Linked DNA regions of Canis lupus familiaris. The protein of the gene in region 1 purifies or fractionates together with the protein of each later gene. This does not show direct contact. Links are inferred from orthologs where the notes say so. Each region holds a gene or a part of one and is shown on either strand. Other genes may lie near its edges.

Region 1 (3,645 bases):
TTTTTATGTTTCATGCCAACCTGTACATCACTTCTTTTTTTCTCCCCTAGAACCTATTATTAAGCCAGTGAAAACCAAGAAATTCACTCTGATGGAGCAGACGTTACCTGTCACGGTGTATGAAATGGAGTAAGTTATAAGGTCTCAGTGTGGGTTCATTTTTCTGTGGAGGTAGGAGGTAGTTTATGGTTGAAGTACCTAGTAAATTGTAAAAGTAAAAATCCTCTCCTACAATTTGCCAGAATTTTCCTTGAGCATACATGTTTGCTGGAATGTGTAGAGTCCATCTTAACTTTTCTCCTGCCTCTCCTTCAGATCTCAGCCTTTTCTCTTCCAATTCTTTAGTTGGGTATTAGAAGCTGGCCTTTGAGACAGAACTGGGGATTGTAATCATCAATGTTGGGGCAACCAGAGCCTATTTTGACTTGGTGAGAATGCTGTTTGGGGAATATAACAACTCTTTATTATGGAAAGGAAATATTCTACATGTGTAGAGTACTTTAGATTCTTTGTACTGCAGACTTTCTGAAAATATTTTCATTGATGAAATGCACTTGTAAGGTCCTCATATATTGAAGTGCTTAGAACTCATTTATTAGATAATGAAACTTTTCTTTGTTTTAAACATGTTGAAATCTACTGTGTCTAAAAGAGTGGGATCTGGGCAGCCCGGGTGGCTCAGCGGTTTAGCGCCACCTTCAGTCCAGGGTCTGATCCTGGAGACCCGGGATCGAGTCCCACGTCTGGCTCCCTGCATGGAGCCTGCTTCTCCTTCTACCTGTCTGTGTGTGTGTGTGTGTGTGTGTGTGTGTGTGTCTCATGAATAAATAAATAAAATCTATTAAAAAAAAAAAAAAGAGGGTCCCGGGGTGGCTCAGCGGTTTGACGCCTGCCTTTGGCCCAGGGTGTGATCCTGGAGACCTGAGATCGAGTCCCACATTGGGCTCCTGGCATGGGGCCTGCTTCTCCCCCTGCCTGCCTCTGTCTGTCTGTCTCTCTTTGTTTTGAAGAATGAATGAATGAATGAATGAATGAATGAATGAATGAAATTAAAAAAAATAAAAGAGTGGGATCCCTTCTGAAATGGTCAGCCCACCTGCCAACATTCAGCCATTTTTGAAAAACTTTTCAATTATCTTTAGAACTTGCTTCAGATTCCTGTGTGTTCTCAGTGGTGGTTTTTAAAATCTCCAATCTTTTAAAGTGGGCTTGATATTTCAAAGAGTCAAAGTCCTCTGAATTAATGTGGTAAGCAAGAAAGTGCCGTTCTGATCAAGATGGAACTCCTCAGCATCATTAATGAGATGGAGTTTTCTCAAAAGTTTTGTTAACTAGCTCTAAGGGCAATTTCTTTCTTTCTTTTTTTTTTCTTTCTAAGGGCAATTTCAAAGGAGAAGCTGGGGTGCCTGAGTAGCTCAGTCGGTTAAGCGTCTGACTCTTGATTTCAGCTTGGTTCACAGTCTCAGGGTCATGGGGATTGGGCCCCACATCAGGCTCTGCACTCAGCCTGGAGTCTGCTTGTCTCTTTCCCCCTGCATCCCCCTCCCCTCTCTGCTCGCTCATGCTTGCTCTCTCTCGCTCTCTCTCTAAAATAAATTTTAGGGATGCCTAGGTGGCTTAGCAGTTGAGCGCCCGCCTTTAGCTCAGGGCATGATCCCACGGTCCCGGGTTCAAGTCTCACATCGGGCTCCTTGCATGGAGCCTGCTTCTCCCTCTGCCAGTGTCTCTGTCTCTCCTTGTCTCTCATGAATAAATAAAATATTTTTTAAAAAATTTATTTTTAATCTTTAAAAAAATAAAAGGGAAACTCTCAAAGTGATTTTAAATCCCCTTTGCATCAATGAAATAAATGTGTGGTATCTAATCTGAGGATTTTGAAAGGGACAGTGCTGGTGTATGTGCGTGCATGTGTCCTTATATTTGGTTTTGCCTTTCTTGCTTACTTTTGAAATCTCATGATTTTGCTCTTGAAACCCATTTCATGGGTTGTGTCATGTCATGGATAAGTCTGTTCCATTTCCAGAGCCAAACCCATATAGATGTAGAAATTCACATCTGCCTCTGAGCATTCTCCAGTTGGTCTGAAAATTGTTCCTGACAAAATTCATGAAACACTTTTGTACCACTTCCCATTTGGAAGCTTTTGCCAAAGTCCCTTTTCTCTTTTCCTTTCTCCTTTCAGCTTCTTGGCAGATCTGATGGATAATTCAGAGCTCATCAGAAATGTAACCCTCTGTGGCCATCTCCACCATGGCAAGGTGAGAGAACTTTCAGCTACTTGGAACACGATTTCTCTTAGTTTCTGCTCATTTATTCAGGCCTCAGAGTCACAGTTGGGGTTTGAGGCCATCATGATGGACCTCTGATAATGGGGGACCTCCATGCTTAGTGTGAAACTGTGCTATGAAATTCTAGCTTTTCCTGAACAGTGGATGGAGCCTGTTTCTAAGCCACTTGCAGCCTTGTGTCTACATCTGTACAGAAGAGGAGAAATTGAGCCTTACTCTCATTTTATAAGTTTTCATTTCCTGGGGGAATGCTTGTCCAAGAAAGATTTCATCTTTCATTTGAAGATAATCCTATGGCTTCAGTGGCTTCAGTATTAATCCCTTGCTGTCCCATAATCCTCCTTGCTCTCCTCTTCCTCTCTTTATCCCTAAATTAGGTGGTGTTTTGGGCACTGAGGGAAGGGTAGAGTAGATTTTCCTTTGTGCTTGGCACATCTTAACCTTCTCTTCTCTTTCAGACGTGTTTCGTAGATTGTTTAATAGAGCAGACTCACCCGGAAATCAGGAAGCGCTATGACCAAGATGTAAGTAGAAATTCTGTGGAAGGTTTAGGATGAACCATTCAGAATATACAGGGGTGTCGCTCTCCTTCCCCTTCCTTCTCACTCTCATTATAAATAATGACGCCTACAAAGCGCTGCTTTATAATTGTAATCTCTATTCATAGCCTTAAAGAAAGTAATTTTAACTTTCTTAGGAGACTAGAGAATATTAACCTGCAGTATTTTTGGATGATCTGTTCTGCACTTGGGATCTTTCCTCTGTTCTGATATATCCTGACTTTTATAGCCTATTCTTTCCTGTCATGGTATTAATAGCCTACTCTATAAATATAATACAATTGGACCTTGTTGTTTTCTGTGATAAATTTAAATGCCTGTGAATGAGGCCAAATGTGGCTGCAGGTCTCAGCGCAATAAATGTTCCATGTCTGCTAGATTGAGTGTTTTGACGTGTGGGGGGTTCCATAAAGGCTGGATGTGTCTCCCTTTACTACTTTAGGATTCAGTGCATTTGATAGAATTTAGCTCTCTCCAGCCATACCTGGTCCTCAGGGACCACCCTGACCCCCTCCTACCCAACCCCCCTCCAAAAAAAAAAACATCCATCCGGGAGCATTTTCTATCTGAGAGGGCCTTGGTTTTTCTGTAGGATACCCTTCTGTCTTCCATCTAACCTCCTGAGACAGAAACCCTTGGGTTGGGAGCTGGTGGGGGAAAGTGATTGATGGTTTGTATGGGAGAGGAGTCTGGAGTCAGGTGGTAACAGCACTTCATTTTTTTTTTTTTCCAAGCTATGTTACACTGACATCCTCTTCACAGAGCAGGAGGTAAGTGTGCCTGGGGAAATCTAACTG
Region 2 (2,917 bases), on another chromosome or scaffold:
CGCCACCCAGGGATCCCTTGCTTCCTTATTCTGATAAGGGCATGCTTTGTGGTTTTTTTCTGTAGCTGGGGTAGAGTTCAGTACCTGGTCACAGTGGCCTGAGATGGCTGCCCAAGGTGCAATGGCTGTACTTGTGCCAATGTTAAACTTGAATGGCCCTAATTTTCTCGGCCTCCACAGGACTAGATGTGAGGGACTAAAGAACCAGAGCTCACTTCCCCGGGTGCCATGGATCAAGGCCTCAAACGAAGTTCCATCAGGCGAGGGATCCCATCTCTGCTCCTCGTGTTTTGGCACATAGCATGGATTCGGTACTAAAAGTCGGATGAACCGGGGCAGCCGGGCTGGCTCAGCGGTTTAGCGCCGCCTTCAGCCCAGGGCGTGATCCTGGAGACCCGGGATCTAGTCCCACGTCGGGCTCCCTGCATGGAGCCTGCTTCTCCCCCGCCCCCCCGTATCTGTCTCTCATAAATAAATAAATAAACAAACAAATAAATAAATAACATCTTTAAAAAAAATAAAGGTCGGATGAACCATGGATTTGGAGGGGAAACCAAACAGGAGCTCAGTTACCTGTTCTTTCTTCTCAAGAGGGGAAACACCTCCAAAAACAGAGTCTCGGCCACGTAGTCCATATTCACCCTATTTCTACATCTCGCTTTACTGGTCTCTGTCCCGTAGGAGAACGGCTGCCCCTCAGCTCAACACGCCTCCTTCCCCAGGGCCCTGCGCAATTAGTGGCCCGAGTAGGGCCTCACGAAGATCGACTCCCCAAGGGCGTTTTATAGCGCTCAAAAAGGAGCCACTGGGGGGCGGGCGGGCACCAGCGGAGCTCCGGCTGCGCACCAGCCCCCTCGACCCACGCCGGCGCCGGCTCGAGCGCTACTAGATAGAGGGGTGGGGCTTGGCCACCGAGCAGGGGCGGAAGTTGCCGAGAGTCCTCGGGGGCTTTGACCACGCCCCGTCGGCCTTGCCCGGAGGCGGAAGTAGCCGGTTAGCGCCGGAAGTTGCCCCGCGCGGCCTGAGAGCGTTCGTAAGCGGCGCGGGGCGCCCGTTGCCATGGAGCCGGCCGGGCCGTGCGGTTTTTGCCCGGCCGGGGAGGCCCAGCCCGCGCGCTACACCTGTCCTCGCTGTAATGTGCCCTACTGCTCCCTGCGCTGCTACCGGGCGCATGGCACCTGCGCCGAAGACTTCTACCGGGACCAGGTGCTGGGCGAGCTTCGCGGCCGCAGCGCCTCGCCCAGCCGTCTGGCCAGCGCCCTACGCCGGCTGCGTCGGCAACGCGAGACCGAGGACGACCCCGAGGACGCAGGCCTCAGGCCTGGCCCGGCGCCAGGCGGGCCCTCCAGACTCTGGGAGCTACTGGCCCCGGCAGAGAAGGTGGCCTTCGAGCGGCTGCTGAATCGTGGCGAGGCCGGGCGGCTGCTGCCCCCATGGAGGCCGTGGTGGTGGGGCCGCGGGGCTGGGCCGCGGCTTCTGGAGGAGGTGGGTGATGCTGCGGACCGTGACCCTGCGGAGCTGGAGCCCACCCCCGCGAGGACGCCCCCGGAACCCGTGAAGGAGGCCGCCGCTGAGCCGTTTCTCGAAGACCCTCCCGAGGCCTGCGCGCCCGCCGTGCCCACCCGGATCCCCGTGCTGGCCAGTCTGAGCCGCGGCCGGGCCTCGCCGCTCGTGCGCTTCCAGCTGCCCAACGTGCTGTTCGCCTATGCGCACACTCTCGTCTTGTATCACGGCGGCGACGAAGCACTGCTCTCTGACTTCTGTGCCACACTGCTCGGCGTTTCCGGAGCCCTGGGTGCGCAGCAGGTCTTCGCCTCTGCTGAGGAAGCCCTGCAGGCCGCAGCCCAGGTGCTGGAAGCGGGCGAGCATCCGCCTGGGCCCCTGGGCACACGGGGTGCCATACGCGAAGCCGCCCGCATCCTGATGGGTGAAAGCCCCGCCAACCGGAAAGGCTACACGCTGGCAGCCCTGGGGCACCTGGCACAGACCCTGAGCCAGGCCCGGAAGCAAGCTGTGGCTACGGAAGAGCGAGATCGCCTCTATCGGGCGCGGAAGAAGTGCCAGTTCCTGCTGGCTTGGAGCAATGAAAATGAGGCGGCCCTCACATCCCTGGCTCTAGATTGTGCAAGGGCCCATCGAGCCCATGCTGTGGCGGCCGAGGAGGTGGTAGCCCTCACCGAGGAGTTGGAGCAGCTTTGGGGAGGACCCCTGCCACCTGCTCCAAGAATTCTCATTGAGGAGCTCCCTGGCTGAACTGGGATCTCTTTGTCATTAATAAAGCTGGTCTTCCCTGTCAGCAGTGCCTGTTTCTGAGGAACAGCTCTTGCCCACCCCACCCCCAGACTCTTGGGCCCATAGACCACTTCAGCTTTTCCTGGATCAGAGCTTACCTAGAAAGTTTTAAACGCCCTGGCCCCAGAAAGGGAGGGAAGTGGTACCATGGTTTCTAGATGTTTATCCAAGGAGAAAGAACAGCCCCTCCACTCCATTTTTGGGCACTGGCTTCATTTCTCCTTGCTCCAGAGCACCTCTCCCGGGCTGTTCATCCCTGCTTGTTGGAGCTTGGAGCAGGGTAGGAGTCCAGTCTCCTGGTGCTGAGTGCACATGCCCCAGTCTGGGGTGAGTGGAGCTGCTTCAGTAGATGTAGGGCAGGATTCGGTAAGGCACACGCCGACAGTATTCATGCCAGGCCAGGCCATACTTCTGCAGGCACTGCTGCTCATCCCGAGCCTCACGGTGTACCAGTAGTGCCGTGAAGTAGAGGAGGTAGAAGTAGGGTAGCAGGTGAGACACTCCTGTGGGGAAGTAGAGGCTGTGATCGCTCAGCAGCCCCTCCAGTTCACAAAGACTTCCACATCTAATGGCTCATAGGACATTGGGGCTGTGGTGAAAGGTCCAGCTCTGCAGCAAGGTGCTG
Region 3 (3,745 bases), on another chromosome or scaffold:
GGGGCATTAAGAGCCGAGGCAGAGAGAGGGAAACGGGAAGGGGACACAGAGACACTCAAGGACACAGAAGGAGAGGCGGAGACAGCAGGATTTAGAGAGGGAAAGAGAGTGAGAGGCAGAGGGGAGGGCAGAGAAAAGCCATGAGAACGGAGCAACACGCCGGGGAGACTGCGGAGAGAGAGCCCTGGCAGGAGAGGTTGGCCCAAGAGGAAACCGAGGAGAGACAAATGACGGCAAGAGAGACAAAGGCAGGCTGGGGGGGCTCTCCAGGGGATCCTTATGCCCCCCCATGCCACAGCCCCCAAGGGCACCTGTGATGGCGTGCTGGGAGAAGGCCTCCACGTAGACGAGGTAGTTGTGGGGACAGTGCTTCTTGAGCCACTTGCACACGTCCTGCTGACTCCACAGGACCACAGGCCGCGTCAGGCCGCCCAGGGAGGGACTCGTGTGGTACAGGCCATAGTGGTCAGAGTACATCCGGCCCTGCGGGGGAGACGGGTGCCGGGTGCGGTGAGGTGGTGGGAGGGCAGGGGCTGAGGGGGGACGGCGGGTGGGTACCTGGGGGGCCTCTGTGCCAGGCTGCTGCAGGAGCTTGACCGGCCGGCCACCAGCGGCCCTCTGGCTACGGGAGTCGTGCCATGTGAGGCTGGTGCCTGGCGTCCGAGGCAGGTGGCAGGGGATGCTCTCAGCGGACACCGTGTGCTCCAGGAGGGTTCGGCAGAAGCTGAAGTGTGCAGTGGCTGCGGGGCATGGGCGCCTGGTCAGGGCGGTCAGGGCCGGGGCCAGAGGATCGTCTCTCTGCAAACCAACTCCCTGCTCAACCCATCTTCCCTTGAACACGAGGCCCCTTTTCCCAATCGGGGGGCCCCAAGCCCCCAGGGACAGGAAGGAAGTGCGCAAGAACGGTCCTGCGTAGCCCGCCCAGCCCAAAGCTGATGGCCTGGGAGCATCCTTCCTCTTCTGGGCGCACTGGCCGTGCTCTGGGGAGCACGAGGGGTTCCGCATAGGTTCGAGAGACAGTGTGCCCACCGGGGAGCCTAAGGTTCACAGTCTGGTGAGGAGCTACCCTGAGACAGGCCTCGTCTCACCCTCGCTCTAGGCTGACGCACGCTGAGCCAGACCAGGGCACGCTGCGGCCCCTCTGTCCTGGGAGGCCCTGCGTCACGGCGTCCCCGAGAATGCTGCCTGCCATCGCCACTGACGGCACCCCAACTCTGCAGCCATACCTGGCGTTTGAGACGTGGCTCCTGCCGTGCGGTGCTCACCTGCCAACCCCTCGGCGGGAAGCCTGAATGAACTGCAGGCAAGCCACCCCGGGAACCCTGCTCTGCCACCTGTCGCAGGGCCCTTGGCCCAGGACAGCTCCCGTGGGTGGGCATCCAGCGGACATGGGCTGCTCAGCACAGGTGTGCAGGGGCCAGCCATGAGCTCGGGGAGCCACGGGGACACCTGGCGCTTTCTTTCCACAGACTTCATTACACTCCTCAAGTTTTAGTTTCGCTGTCCTTCCTGGGCTCGTTGCTCACATAGGTCACGGGAGGGCAGACACCCTAACAATGGCCTCCTGACCCTTGCACAGGTCTGGGCACACAGCAGGTGCCCAGGAACACTGTGGCTGGCTGGCTGGGTGGATGGAGAAAGGCTCTGTGTGGTGTCCACAGCCAGTAGAGCCCTGGGGAGAGACAGGAAGCTGGGCCCAGGCTCGCCTTCATCTTTACAGCACCTAGGCCCCAACTCGGCAGGCAGAAGCAGGTTCTCGGCCAGGGCCCTCGCCTCCCTGGCTCTCAGCCCTAGAATGAGAGACCCTGCCTTCCATGGACACAACCCAGTGCCCCCAGCTGAGGGCAGGGAGGGGTTGGCTGTGTGCCCAGGAGTTCTCAGCCATGGGGAAAACCCATCACTTCCCCCTTCTAGCCCTTCAGATTCCTCCGATTCAGCACGCCGTCTTCATACTTGCAACTTTTCGGAATTGGATGACCCCAGGTGACTCTAAATTTGAGGTCCAGGATCAAATAGAGGGTGTGCCTGGTGCGGTCCCTGCCTGGATGAGGTTTCTGATATCACGGAAAAAGACTTATTCTAAGCTGGCATCTTTCAGGGCACAGGTTCCAGAGCCACTCGGCCTCGCCTTGCAGGGCCTGGCGGAGTGGGCTGGCCGGGTCAGGGGCAGAGGCAGAGGCAGGGGCAGGGGCAGGAGCAGGGGCAGCGGCAGGTTCAGGGGCAGGAGCAGAGGCAGGAGCAGGGGCAGGGGCAGGGGGCAGGGGGCAGGAGCAGGAGGCAGGGGGCAGGAGCAGGGACAGGGGGCAGGAGCAGGAACAGGGGCAGGAACAGGGGAAGGAGGCAGGGGCAGGAACAGGGGCAGGAGCAGGAGCAGGGGCAGGAACAGGGGCAGGGGCAGGAGCAGAGGCAGAGGCAGGAGCAGAGGCAGGGGCGGGGGCAGGAGCAGAGGCAGGGGCAGGAGCAGAGGCAGGAGCAGGGGGAGGGGAGGAGCAGGGGCAGGAGCAGGAACAAGGGCAGAGGCAGGGGCAGGAACAGGGGCAGGGGCAGGAGCGTGAAGCTCTGGCCGAGGTGGGCGTCGCCGCGGCGCTGCACCTGTCGGGGTCCAGCGGGCCCCGCCCATTTGCTGCCCAGGCTAGGGGAACGATCTGCGTCTTTCTGTCTGTCCGCCCGTCGTTCCGTCCCTCCCTCTTAGCCCCAACGTCAGAATTCCACCATGAAACGGGGCCGGGGGCGTCCAAGCCCAGCTGTGGCCTCGGCTCCTGTCGGCCCCACGGCGGAGCAGGGGAGGGAAGGGCGCGCAAAGGGAAAGGTGACCGCGGGGTGGGCCAGCGGGGGGCAGGAGCCCCAGCCGTAACCTCCTCCAAGCCAAGGGTGCGCTGATGCCCCGGCCCGAGGCCACCCCCCATCAGGACAAAGGCACCAGGGACCCCGATCGGCCAGGATGCGGCCCCCCTCGGCTCAAGCCGCCGCCCGCCCGCGCCGTGGTCAGCCCTGCTCACCGTCCACATCCCGGCGCTCCCCGAAGCCGGCGCGCACAGCCCCGGCGCGGCCTCGCGGGGGGCTCAGCTTGGTCCTCAGCTCCGTGAACATGGGGCCCAGGGATCCGGGCCGCGCACACGCCCCTCGCCGGGCGCCAGGCGGCCGTGTGGCCGGCGGGGAACGCGCGCCGCCTGCCCGCCCCGCCCGCCCCGCCCGCCCCGCGCCCGAGCCGGTCCCCGCGCCCGCCGGGCGAGTCTGCGCGGCGAGGCACCTGCTCCCGAGCCCGAGCCCGGGGCCGGGCGCGCTCGGGAGCTCCGCGGTCTAGCGGCGGCGCGCAGCTCTGCTCTGCAAAGGGAGCCTGCGGGGGTCCGGGCGACCTTGCAACCTGGCGGTGGCTTCCAGGACGAGCGCCTGCACCTCCCGGGGGGCCCACCCCCCGGGGGCCTCTGAGGCGGGGAAAGGAGGAAGCCAAGGTCCCGGCGGGAGGGCGCGGGCCGGAGGCGGACATCCTCCCTGGTCCTGGGATGGTCGGTCCACCGAGGCCCAGGTGGAGGGCCAGACCGACCCCTCCATTTCTCACTCCTTTATCCTCGCCTTCTCCAGAGATCTCTCCCTCAAGGGGCACTTGCTCCCCTAGGAGCCTCCCTTAACCCACCGCAGGGGACTCCAGGAAGACAGCCGGGCAGCACCTGTCCCCTTCCCTACGCAGCCCCAGGATCTGGCCCGGGGCTCAGGGGGTGCCGCTGAAGGCGGTTTCGCGGGGCAT

What was found.
Region 2: the proteins of EFTUD2 (region 1) and ZNHIT2 purify together in Homo sapiens (affinity purification with mass spectrometry; 4 studies listed by BioGRID and IntAct, with this or other methods). This does not show direct contact. The link is inferred for Canis lupus familiaris from reciprocal best matches to the Homo sapiens genes EFTUD2 and ZNHIT2.
Region 3: the proteins of EFTUD2 (region 1) and PRPF6 purify together in Homo sapiens (affinity purification with mass spectrometry; 6 studies listed by BioGRID and IntAct, with this or other methods). This does not show direct contact. The link is inferred for Canis lupus familiaris from reciprocal best matches to the Homo sapiens genes EFTUD2 and PRPF6.

The regions. Positions count from the first base shown.
Region 1 is NC_049230.1:18,486,268-18,489,912, forward strand, and holds part of EFTUD2 (116 kDa U5 small nuclear ribonucleoprotein component), read left to right. Parts: intron 1-50; coding exon 51-129; intron 130-2,182; coding exon 2,183-2,258; intron 2,259-2,746; coding exon 2,747-2,812; intron 2,813-3,582; coding exon 3,583-3,618; intron 3,619-3,645. UniProt on the Homo sapiens protein: Required for pre-mRNA splicing as component of the spliceosome, including pre-catalytic, catalytic and post-catalytic spliceosomal complexes. Component of the U5 snRNP and the U4/U6-U5 tri-snRNP complex, a building block of the spliceosome.
Region 2 is NC_049239.1:52,582,837-52,585,753, forward strand, and holds ZNHIT2 (zinc finger HIT domain-containing protein 2), read left to right. Parts: upstream 1-993; 5' UTR 994-1,059; coding exon 1,060-2,253; 3' UTR 2,254-2,296; downstream 2,297-2,917. Other genes in the region: delta(14)-sterol reductase TM7SF2, read right to left, coding at 2,635-2,795. UniProt on the Homo sapiens protein: May act as a bridging factor mediating the interaction between the R2TP/Prefoldin-like (R2TP/PFDL) complex and U5 small nuclear ribonucleoprotein (U5 snRNP).
Region 3 is NC_049245.1:48,284,737-48,288,481, forward strand, and holds the start of PRPF6 (pre-mRNA-processing factor 6), read left to right. Parts: upstream 1-1,277; 5' UTR 1,278-1,292; coding exon 1,293-1,303; exon of another isoform or gene 1,304-1,914; coding exon 1,915-1,983; exon of another isoform or gene 1,984-2,191; intron 2,192-2,999; coding exon of another isoform or gene 3,000-3,090; exon of another isoform or gene 3,091-3,158; intron 3,159-3,745. Other genes in the region: SAMD10 (sterile alpha motif domain-containing protein 10), read right to left, coding at 312-483, 559-1,005. UniProt on the Homo sapiens protein: Involved in pre-mRNA splicing as component of the U4/U6-U5 tri-snRNP complex, one of the building blocks of the spliceosome.